Cricetulus griseus: one gene and its partner. Each later gene encodes a partner of the first gene's protein in a complex. Links are inferred from orthologs where the notes say so. Each region holds a gene or a part of one and is shown on either strand. Other genes may lie near its edges.

The links.
Region 2: Iqcd (region 1) and Iqcg share a complex: the UniProt entries of both Homo sapiens proteins name them as parts of the nexin-dynein regulatory complex. The link is inferred for Cricetulus griseus from reciprocal best matches to the Homo sapiens genes DRC10 and DRC9.

The regions. Positions count from the first base shown.
Region 1 is NC_048597.1:100,409,872-100,416,190, reverse strand, and holds the start of Iqcd (dynein regulatory complex protein 10), read right to left. Parts: upstream 4,025-6,319; 5' UTR 3,997-4,024; coding exon 3,229-3,996; intron 1,070-3,228; coding exon 836-1,069; intron 1-835. UniProt on the Homo sapiens protein: Component of the nexin-dynein regulatory complex (N-DRC), a key regulator of ciliary/flagellar motility which maintains the alignment and integrity of the distal axoneme and regulates microtubule sliding in motile axonemes.
Region 2 is NC_048597.1:56,512,553-56,518,188, reverse strand, and holds part of Iqcg (dynein regulatory complex protein 9), read right to left. Parts: intron 2,947-5,636; coding exon 2,785-2,946; intron 1,364-2,784; coding exon 1,289-1,363; intron 1-1,288. UniProt on the Homo sapiens protein: Component of the nexin-dynein regulatory complex (N-DRC), a key regulator of ciliary/flagellar motility which maintains the alignment and integrity of the distal axoneme and regulates microtubule sliding in motile axonemes.

The DNA.
Region 1 (6,319 bases):
CCACAAGGTGGCAGGAGAGAACTGACAAAAGAGCTGTTCTCTGATCTCCACACAGGCATCATGGTGCATGCACACAAGTACACACACACACACACACACACACACACACACACACACACACACACTAATAGTTTAAAGGGTCAGCTCCCAGCTGGGGGTGTGGCTCAGAACCTTTGCCTAGCATGAATGAGGCCCTAAGTTTAAAAATTAAATGTAGTTGGAGCTGTAGAGATAGCTCAGCAGTTAAGAGTACTGGTTTCTCTTCCAGAGGACCCAGGTTCAATACCCAGCACCTGCATGGTAACTCACAACCCTCTGTAACTCCAGTTGTAGGGGACACAACATTGTCTTCTGGCCTCTGAGGGCACTGCACACATGTGGTACACAGATATCCAAACAGACACACATGTAGGCAATACACCTATATACATAAAATAAAAACTTAAAGAAAATACTGGGCATGGTATCAGGCATTGTAGCACTAGAGAGGCAGAGCTGGGTGGATCTCTGTGAGTTCAAGGCCAGCCTGTCTACAGATTGAGTTCCAAGACAGCCAGGGCTACATAGAGAAACCCCGTCTCAAAAAAAAAAAAAAAAAAAAAAGAAGAAGAAGAAATTTCCCCTGTGCATAAAACAGAATGTGATTCTGCCATAGAAAAGAATGAAGCTAGACATGCCTCCTCCATGGGCGAACTTTGAGATGGTGGTGAGGGAGGAGCCTCGCTCCCACCTGTGTGCCCCCACACACACATCCCAGGAGATACCACATGTCTTGGGCTTCCCCACTCCTGGATGAGCCCTGCCCTGCCTTCTCTACCCCGAGACCTCAAGGCACCTTCCTCAGGGCCTGCTCCACCTCCCGATTCTCCATGACCAGGTTGTGGTACTGCGAGCGAAGCGTCAGGATCTCTTGCTGTATCTTGGCCAGCCGAGCCTGGGAGGCCCGGTAATCCACCTTCTGCTGCTTCTCTGCCTCCTGCTTCGTTCGAAGGAGGCTGATCTCTGAGAACTTGAACACCTGGTGCAGGTGGTTCTTCAGCTCTTGGATCACAAAGTTCTCCTTCTCCACCTAGGCCAGCACGAATGAGGATGGGGCCCCATTAATTGCCACACAGACTCCCACAATCACAGGGGCAGCTGGCCTTTGGTTGTGCCCTCCCTTAGGGTTTGGAACCAGCCAGGCTTATGCTCATCTCAGGTCTGGGACCACATGCTCCCCTCCACCTAGGAAAGGGATCAGCAAACAAAGGCTCATAAGCCAGATCCAAACAGCCATACCTGTCAATAAATTGAGACACAGCCCTTTTGTTCTGATACTGTTTTTGGCTGCTTCCACACTAACAGCAGAGTCATGTGGAGACAACTGGCCCACTAAGCCCAGTGTGTGGATTGTGTGACCCTTTGGAGATGAGATACAGAGCCAAAAAGAAAGCAGGCTGCAGGAAGACAGCAGCTGCTGAGGACCCACAGCCATCAAGATGTGACAGATCTGAATTGTAACTAACCCTGGGACTTACTATAATATACTAACTAGTCAACTGTGGGTGGGGGCAGGGTTGGTAGCAATGTGCATACAGGTACACTTTAAGCTTCCTATAGAACCTCTGAATGTTCAAATATTCAAACCTGTCCATAAGATGAAACACAGCTCTGTGTTCACAGCTGTAGAGTAGCCTGCTGTAACTCTCTGGATATGTGCTTGCATGTATGTGCACCCTCACCAGTCATCCACCTCTCTCATTGGCCTGGAGCTTGTGGCTTAGGTTAGGCTGGCTAGCCCCTGGTCTCAGGGGTCCCCCATCCCTACCTCCCCAATGCTGAGATTACATAGGTACACCATCATACCAGCTTAAAAAAAAAAAAAAAGTGGGCTCCAAGGCTCAAACTCAGATTCCCCAGCTTGTACAGAAAGCTTTTTACCCACTCAGCCATGCCCTGACTGCCCTGGAATTCTCTCTGTAGACCAGGATGGCCTCGAACTCACAGAGATCCACCTGCCTATGCCTCTAGGATGCTGGGATTAAAGGTGTGCTCCATCACTAGCCAACCCTGTACTTCTTTTCATAATAGGCTTTCACTTTTCTTTTGTTTCAATATTCTTGGATTTCAGATTTCTTTTAAGATTGAATATAATTTTAAAAATTGTGTGTGTGTGTGAGAGAGAGAGAGAGAGAGAGAGAGACAGAGAGAGAGAGAGAGAGAGAGAGAGAGAGAGAGAGAGAGAGAGAGAGAGAGAGAGAGAGAAATTGTACACATGAATGCAGGGCGACATCCCTGGGAGCTGGAGCTACAGGTGTTTGTGAGTTGCTGGACATAGGTGCTGGGAACTGAACTCTTCTGCTCTGCTAGAGCGGTATATACCAGGTGTGATGGCACAGGCCTTTAATCCCAACACTCAGGAGGCACAGGCAGGGAGATCTTTATGAGTTGAAGGCCAGCCTAGTCTTCGGCATTCCAGACCAGCCATGGCTGTGCATTGAGTCCCTGTGAGTCCCTCAAAGGAACAGTATGCACTTTTAACCACTAAGCCGTCTCTACAACCCCTCCCCCATGTATCTGATGTCTCTCCTATGTAAGATGAAGAACTCACTTAGCTGGTAACAAAGACACCTTGCCAGCCCCAGAGCATCTGGGTGGGACTCCACGTAGGACATCAGGGTCACCAGCCCCACTTTTTGTATGGCCTCATCCAGGACTGACATGACAGTCACTTGTCTGGCTCAGTCCCCCTTTCTTTTTTTTGTTTTTGTTTTTGTTTTTTTTCGAGACAGGGTTTCTCTGTGGCTTTGGAGGTGTCCTGGAACTAGCTCTTGTAGACCAGGCTGGTCTCAAACTCACAGAGATCCACCTGCCTCTGCCTCCCGAGTGCTGGGATTAATGGCGTGTGCCACCAATGCCCGGTGCAGTCCCCCTTTCTTGATCCTTCTTGTCTTAGTGGCAGTGTCCCTGGTCCTTCCGGCCCGAGTTCAGTTCTCTCGTATCATCCCTCCATGGTGCCCTGTCCTTACCCTTCACACTTCCGAACAGCTGTCAACTAATTCCTTAATGTCCTGTGAGCTCTTGAGGCTGGATTTATTTAATGATATAACCTCCTAGTAAAATGCTCAGGACAATCTCTACAGAGTAAATGATGAGGAAGCTATTTGAATCAACGAAAGAAAAGCCAAGTCCCAAAGGGCTTGGCCCACGCAGTTCATCCCGGAACCTGAGGGATGCTGGGAAGTATACCTCTGCCTCCTTATTCTTTAGCACCTCCGCCAGCTCGGCCTGGAGAGCATCAATGACTTCTTGGTTCCTTTCATTCCTCCGGTTGATGTCCTGTATGAATTGGTTCTTCTCCCTTACTTCCATAGGGCTGGTGAGGAGCTTTTCAAAGAGGTAGCCCCGAAGCTCTATCAGGGCCTCAAGGAGGCGCTGCGCCCCCCGGCTTCTGCCTGGTGCACGTGCCTGCAGCAGTGTGATGATTTGGGATTGGCTGGACAGGAGCCTCAGGATGGCCTTGGTGGAATCTCGGAACTGGTGTGCCAGTGGCCACAGGTTGGCCTTGTATAGTTCTATAGACATTAGGCGGTCCCGGCACCAGGCTTCCTCAGCATCCGCCTTCTTTTCCTCCAGCAGTTTTTGTTTCTCCTGCAGGTTGCTGGCACCCTCCAGAAAGACCTGGCCGATGTCCAGATGTTCTCTGATGGCCCTCATCAAGTCTTCAGGGAACACTCCCTCCAGAGCATCTGGGTGGGACTCCACGTAGGACATCAGGGTCACCAGCCCCACTTTTTGTATGGCCTCATCCAGGACTGTCATGATTCTCTTGGCCTCGATGGTGTTGAGCTTGGATTTGGATGGGGTCAAGGTCTTCATTGGCATAACTGGGATTATGTCTGTACTCAGTGGGATTCTATGGATGGCCAGGCCATCGTAGGAAGGGGGCATGCTGAAGATGTCCAAGGCCAAGGCCATCTCTGGAGCGGCTGACTTTGCCTCTGTATACCCCGGCATTGAGACGTCAGCCAACTCAAGGTTCTCCTGGCTTTTCAGTCAGCAACCCTGCAAAGGAAGGGGTGGCTGTTAGGTATAATGGCCATGACACCACTCCATAGAACCTGGAAGCTACTTTTAGCTCTTTGGATTTTTGTTTTGATTTGATTTTTTGTTTGTTTGTTTGTTTTTGAAATAGGATTTCTTATAGCCTAGTCTGTCCTTACCCCTGACCCAAGTGCTGGGGTTACCTTATCTTTTAGCATTGTGATGATGCTTGGTGCTTGACTGAGCCATTGGAGTAAGAGGACTGAGGGTGGAGGGGAGTCCTGGGCACATATACCAGGCAAGAGACAGTCACTGTTCTGAGGACTTTCATATGGGGGTTACCCAAGTGGCAGAAATGTAGAGAGGCCAGCTTTAGGCAGCGGAGGTCACCTAGCAGTGTCAACAGCAAGAAGTCACACAGGGAGAAGATGTGAGTTGGGGGGACCAGGGGCAGCAGACCCCAGAGGAGTTGAAGCTGTAGCTGGAAGTGCTGTACAAGCAAAGCAGAGCGTGGAAAATGTGCTCTGCCCCTGCTTGCATTTCCTCCCCATGTTGCCCCAAACCAGTGGGAAATCAGCTGAAGAGCCTGGGTCACAGCCCAGCACACAGAGGAGGCTGGGACAAGGCACCACAGGTCACAGAGTAGGATGGGACATGGACACAGTAGAAAGGTCATAGAGTAGGACATTAATAGGACAAGACACAGACAGAGCTGAACAGGTCAGCTCTGTCCTGAATGACAGTGAATGTCCTGAATGTCCTGAATGGGGCAAAAGCAAGCAGGGTGGGTAACAGCGCACCAGCACATGTCAGGAATGTGTGTGTTTGGGTGTAAGTGTGTAAGTGTGTAGGTGTGTATGCCCCTGTAGTATCCATGTGAATAGAGTGTTGGTGTGTGTAGATATGCATGTATGTGTGGATGAGCATGTGTGTGGGGATGTATATGTGTGTGTAGTGTATGCATCTGTGTGCATGTGAGCACACATATTACATGTCCATATGCAGGCTAGAGGTCACCATTGGGTATCTTCATTTATCCATCTCTTACTTGTTTTTTGAGACCAATCAGTCCATGTCCTGGACCAGTGGTTCTCAACATGTGGGTCGTGACCCCCATCAGGTATCATGAATATTAGATATTTACATTATGATTCATAACAGTAGCAAAATTACAGCTATGAAGTAGCAACAAATAATTTTATGGTTGGGGTCACCACAGCATGAGGAACTGTACTAAAGGGTCACAGTGTCAGGAAGGTTGAGAACCACTGTCCAGACTAGGTTCTGAAACAGAGAAGGGCATCAGAGTAACAGCTGGGAAGCCACCAAGTTCAAGGTTTGGTTAGCAGTATTGTATCAATAGCGTCTTACCTATGTGTTTCTTTGTTTGAGGCAGAGCCTCCTGTAGCCCAGGCTGTCATGGAGCTTGCTATGTGGGAGAGGATGTCCTTAAACTCTGGCCTCCATCCCCAAATGTGAGGAGTACAGGCACTGCAGTCACACCAGGTTTGACAATGTTACTTTCTTAGTTCTGACCTATAAAGTAACATCTCGGGAATTGAATGAAGTATGCAGAGAACCTATATTATCTTGACAGGTTTTCTACAAATCCATAATTACTACAAAGTAAGAGGTTTGTCTGAGCAACTATCTCAAAAAACTCAATGGTGACATCAGAAATCAGTAATTTTGTTGGCAAGCTGATCATAGTGTCACATACCTTTGATCCCAGCAATCAGGAGGCAGAGGCAGGAGAATCTGAGTTTGAGGCCAGCCTAGTTTACATAGTGAGTTCCAGGACAGCCAGAGCTACGTAGTGAGACCCTGTCTCGAAAAACAAAACAAAAATTGCCGTGGCTTTGGTAGCACAGTGGCAGTAGCAAGAACTTGCAGTGGCCCCGATGGGTCTGGTTACCCCTGGGGGTTGGGCCTAGTGCCATTTTCCATAAGGCAGGAATCCTTGTGTTCAATGGAAGTTGTGAGCACATGAGTCTTCGACAGCTAATATTACACTGTAGGCCCAGGGAGACTGAAGAGTGAGTCTGGACCACCGCAGTGTCACGTATGAATGCCATCTCCATGTTCAGCCTGGCCCTTCCTCATGCTCCTTACCCTGCTGATGTCCCCACACGGACCTGCTTAATTATTACCATCTTCTCCAAAGACGTGTCTGCCAACAGAAGCAGGGGATTGTGGGGCTTGTTACACACTGTGACTAGAGAAGCCTAGAAAGAGTGTGTGGAGGGGAGGACAGAGGACTCATTCTTGGACTCTGAGTTCCCAGCTGCCATCACTG
Region 2 (5,636 bases), about 44 Mb from region 1:
CTGGGGGAGGGGGAGTATTGAAGATTATCAGTGAAAACAGATATGATTCTAAGATGTCAAGCCAACCTAATTTTCCAATATGATAGACGAGATTCAGTCTTGGAAAGTTACTAAGATGGACGTTGGCAAGGGAGAATGAGAGCAGGTGCTGGGAGCAGAATTCCGGCCCTCTGGAGAGCAGATGATGATGTCTGTCGCCTGTGTCATCTCTTCAGCTCCACGGCTGGCTTCCTTTACATGTCTTACACACACTGAGATTCTGATTTCTTTCTCATAGGTGTAGAATTAATCATTGTCTATATTCTGTTGTTTTTTGTTTTTATTAAAGTAAAACTTTTTATTTACCTCCCCCTTTCCAGTATCCTATCTTGAGATCAACTTTATGCAAATGGCACTGCATTAGCATACAAAATCTGGGATTACAAGTGTGCAGCACCAAGCCTGTATTTCCTGTGAGTGCTGAGGTCTAACTCAGGTCCTAATGCTTACACAGCAAGCATTTTACCTACTGAGGCAGCTCTTCAGCCCATTACAAGATTTTAAAAAGTTGCAGATTTAAAAAAAGGTGGCATCTGCCTTTAATATCAGCACTTGGGAGGCAGAGGTACTGAATCCTAGTCTACATGATGAACTGTGGGCCAACCAGACTACATAGTGAGACACTGTCCTTACATCAAAACCATTGCTTTCCTTGGAATTTTATAAGTGGAATTTTTTGTTTGAACAGTCTTACTATGGAGCCTTTTCCACCCTAGTACTTGTTATGTACACCAGGAAGGGTTTTGGTTTGTTAGATAGATAGATAGATAGATAGATAGATAGATAGATGGATAGATTTTTTTTTTTTTTTTTGCAGTTTCAAGACAGGTTTTCCTCTGTGTAACAGCCCTTGCTGTCCTGGAACTCCCTTTGTAGACCAAGCTGGCCTCAAACTCAGAGATCTGCCTGCCTGTACTTCCCAAGTACTGGGATTAAAGGTGTACACCACCTCTGCCTGGAGTGGAATTTTTAAAAAATGATCTCTTTACCTTATGGGTATGGCTGTTTTGCCTGTGTGTGTGTGTGTATGTGTGTGCGCGCGCGCTCACGTGCATGCATACCATGTACACCCAGTGCCCTTGAAGACCAGGAGAGGGCACTGAATCCCCTGGGCCTGGAATTGCAACTGTGAGCTGACATGTAGGAGCTGGGAACTGAACCCAGGTCCTCTGCAAAAGCAGTCAGTGTTCTTAACCTCTAGGACATCTCTATTTTGATTCTAGTTTAGTCAAATGTCCAGGAGACTCACCTGCTGCTCTTTCTTAAGGAACAATTCGATCTCCGTGTGAACTCGGTTCTCTTCTTCAGTTTTCATCCTCAGTTTCTGTAATGCGTCAAACACAGGCTCTCTCCTCAGCAAGGCTGAGGTCAGCAGTTCCCAGGCAACACATGCAGCAAGAACCCCAGGAATGCCAGGACTCCCCAAAGAGCTATCTAGCCATTTGTACTCCACAAACCATGCAGAGTCACAGGCTGGCTCCTCCTTAGACACACACAAGGGCCCCAGAAAATGCCGTCACAACCCTGTCATCTAAAAACAATGCTTCAAAGGGTACAAGAGTCTCATCCCAGAGAAGGAAAGTATAGAATTCAAGACAGCCCACACCTGGAATCCCAGCATTCTGGAGGCTGAGGCAGGCAGACCAATTTAAGGCCAGCCCATCACGACAGAGTGAATTTGAGACCAGCCTGAACTACAGAAACCAATGACGGAGGAGGAAGAAGAAGGATGAGGAGAAAATAACAAAACAACAAAAAATCAGGGGTTAGGGGTGGTCCAAGAGCAGCACCTGGGAAGTAAGCTTTCACAGCAGCCTTCTCCAAGTCATGGAAAGAAGCAGGAGTGGCTGGAGCAAAGGCTGCACTTCCAGAGGACCCAGCAAACATATGGTGGCTCACAACCATCTATAATGAGATCTAGTGCCCTCTTCTGGCCTGCAGGCATACATGCAGGCAGAACACTGTACACATAATAAATTTTTAAAAAGAAGCAGGAGGTATAATCATTAAAATCTCTAATCACAAATATTTAATGCCCCATTTAATCTTTTATGTTTGACCTCAAGGCTGCACTGGCCATGAAGGGAAACCTTAATCATCTTCTTCCTCTTTCACCGGCTGAGGCAGGAGAGAGCCCAGCAGTTAAAAGAGTGCACTGCTCTTGTTAGAGGACCTAAGTTTAGTTCTACCCCCCAGGTTGGATGGCTCAAAACCACCTATAACTCCAGGCCCATGGGGCCCAATGCCTCTAGCCTTCCTGGGCACTAACAAGCACACACCTATACATAATATTAAAATATGGAGCTGGAGTTACAGGAGGTTGTGAACCTCCCAACATGGGTGCTGGGGACGGAAAGCAGGACTTCTGGAAGAAATGCATGTACTCTGGTTTGTTTGTTATTCTAGACAGGGTTTCTCTGTGTAGCCCTAGAGGTCCTAGAACTCACTCTGTAGACCAGGCTGGCCTTGAACTCACAGAAGTCTGCCTGCCTCTGCCTCCCAGGTGCTGAGAGTAAAGGTGTGTGCCACCGCCCAACTAAGAAGTGCACGTACTCTTAACAGCTGATCCATCTCTCCTGCCCAAGATAAATCAATCACTTTTTTTAAAGTGACAGCTCACATGACATCAAGTCATCTACCCAGGTTTTTGTTTTGATGTTTGTTGACACTGGAAGGTGGACTCAAAACCTGGCATATGCTGTCACCAAGCTCCATCCCCAGATAGCCTAGTGTAGCACAGGTTACCTCAATCTCCTCCAGCAGGTGTTCCTCTGCTCTGCTACATTTCTTCTGGGTCTGGGAAATCTGCAGCTCAGTGTTTCTTTTCATATAAAGATTCTCCAGGTTGGTTTTGGCCTTCATCTCTTGTAACTGGTCCTTGAGGTGAGCAATGTATTCATTCCCATTCTGCAGAGATGAGACCGGATTTCTGAACTAAAATTTTATTGTGCTTCTAAGGCAACCGGCAAGTGGGGCTGGCTTTCTCCCAGCACACTGAGGGAAACTACTTAGTCATCACGATATTGTGAATGAAAATGAATCACAGAACCAGGAGACAGAGCATAAGGCTTGTCACAGATTCCAGACCAATGAGGACCACGGAGTGAGAATTTATCTCATTAAAAAGAAAAGCAATGCATGGTGGAACACATCTTTAATCCCAGCACTCTGGAGGCACAGGCGGGTAGGTTTTGTGCATTGGAGGCCAGCCTACTTACATAGCAAGTTCCAGACCAGCCAGAGCTACACATTGAGACTGTCTCAAAAGGAGGAAAGAAAATGAAGCTGCGTGTAGTGGTTCATACCTATAATCCCAGCCCTGAGAAAACAAAGGCAGAAAGTTCGGGAGTTCAACGTCATCCTCAGCTACATTCTTAGCTGCTAAAAGCCAGCCTGGACTACAGAAGACCTTGTCTCTAAAAAGGGCAGAGGGGCTGGCCATAAGGCTCAGTGGATCCCTGCCACCAAACCTTATGATCTGAGTTTGATCCCTGGGACCCACATGATAGAGAGCGAGAGAATTGACTTCCTCAAGTTGTCCTCTGACCTCCATACATTCGCTCCACACACACAATACTAAATAAATGTGAGGAGTCGAGGGACATCATCTTTGTTTGCATGTTAGTTTGTTTTTTGAGACAATTTCTCTGTGTAACATCCCTGGGCTGTCCTGTAACTCACTCTGTAGACCAGGCTGGCCTTGAATTCACAGAGAAATGCCTCTGCCTTCCAAGTGCTAGGATTAAAGCTGTGCACCACCACCTGGCATGCTTCACAATTTTAAGGTCTCAAAACTCACTAACTTTTTAAAAAAGAAAATTCTTCAGTAGCAGACACTGAGCTAGGCAGTAGTGAACAATGGAGACCTAACCAGCCATAGTCCCATAAGGGTTCCAGTTTAGTGGAAGGGTGTTGTGAAAGGAAAGTGTGTGGACTTATCTAAATTGTGTGGGTGGTGTGGGAGAAAGATAGGCTCTGGGAGACACAGTAAAGGTGACCTCCATTAACACAACATCTAAACAGAAGGTTTACATTATATCATGCAACATTATGGAACTTTTTATAAATTTTGTAAAAAAGAAGAAGCCTAAGTCATCTGGATTTAATGCTATTGCCTTAAGCTTCTGAATTATTTTCCTTCCTGCTTTACATAAACATCTTTTGCAAACACATCTCACAAAAACATTTTATCAACAGTGTGAAATACAGAGTAAAATATAAAATCTTAGCTGGCATTAGATGCTAAAATCATGACTGAAGTATTATTCCAGCAATTGAACTGAAGTTCAGGTCCATTTTCATATATTCCCACAAAGCAAAACATGCCACCCGAGGCACATCACATTCCTGCACAGACACAGCACACACTGCAGAGACACAGCACACACTGCACAGACACAGCACACACTGCACAGACGCAGCACACACTGCACAGACACAGCACACACTGCAGAGGGACAGCACACACTGCACAGACACAGCACACACTGCAGAGGGACAGCACACACTGCAGAGGGACAGCACACACTGCAGAGGGACAGCACACACTGCAGAGGGACAGCACACACTGCAGAGGGACAGCACACACTGCAGAGGGACAGCACACACTGCAGAGGGACAGCACACACTGCAGAGGGATAGCACACACTGCAGAGGGACAGGACACACTGCACAGACACAGCACACACTGCAGAGGGACAGCACACACTGCACAGACACAGCACACACTGCAGAGGGACAGCACACACTGCACAGACACAGCACACACTGCACAGACACAGCACACACTGCAGAGGGACAGCACACACTGCAGAGGGACAGCACTGCAGACAAACGACTCAGGAATTTCTTTTAAGGCCTTTCACTCAGAGATCTGCCTTCACCACAGCCTGTCATCCTGATCATCCCTGTGACCAAGGCCCTCGGCCTGATTTGGTCTATTTGTGGGGTTTGAAGGCAGACCAAACTTTCTACTCCAAGCCCCCCACTGCCTTCAGACATGGTCTTCTGGACATATTATTGAATCAGAGAAGACGATGGAGTGACAGAGCAGTCAGCCAATTACATTCATAAGGCCCTGGCGGCTGCCGTAGGATGTGAGCCGAAAGTATGTGAGCAGTAGAGGCCGTTCTCACCACTGGCCCTGGCTTGGGGAGCACGGGCCTTAAGAAATTTGAAAGCTAGACTCTGGAGAGGCTGTCACTCGTCTGGCAGATCAGGTCAACTCTTTGTTTGGATGGCAAGAGTTAAACAGGGATGCCGCTGACTGGAGTAAAGAAAGCCACACTCAAAGCATGTACTTCTGACTTGGGGGGGGGGGCACTCCTGTGATCCTGTCATGTAGGATGTGGAAGCCGGGGGATAGGAGTTCAAGGTTGTCCTTTGCCAGTGAGACAGCTCAAGCCAGCCTGAGCGACATGAGACCAAACATATTTATGCCACCACAGTTCTCTATTCAAGTAACATTTCTGTCTGACCATACTCAGCACTGAACGTGGATGTGAGGCATGGGAGACAGCCAAAACCTGACTCCAGACTCCCGAGTCTTGAGGAAATCAAGTCTTTTTAAACTATGACCGAAGTTTTCAGGAACGGAA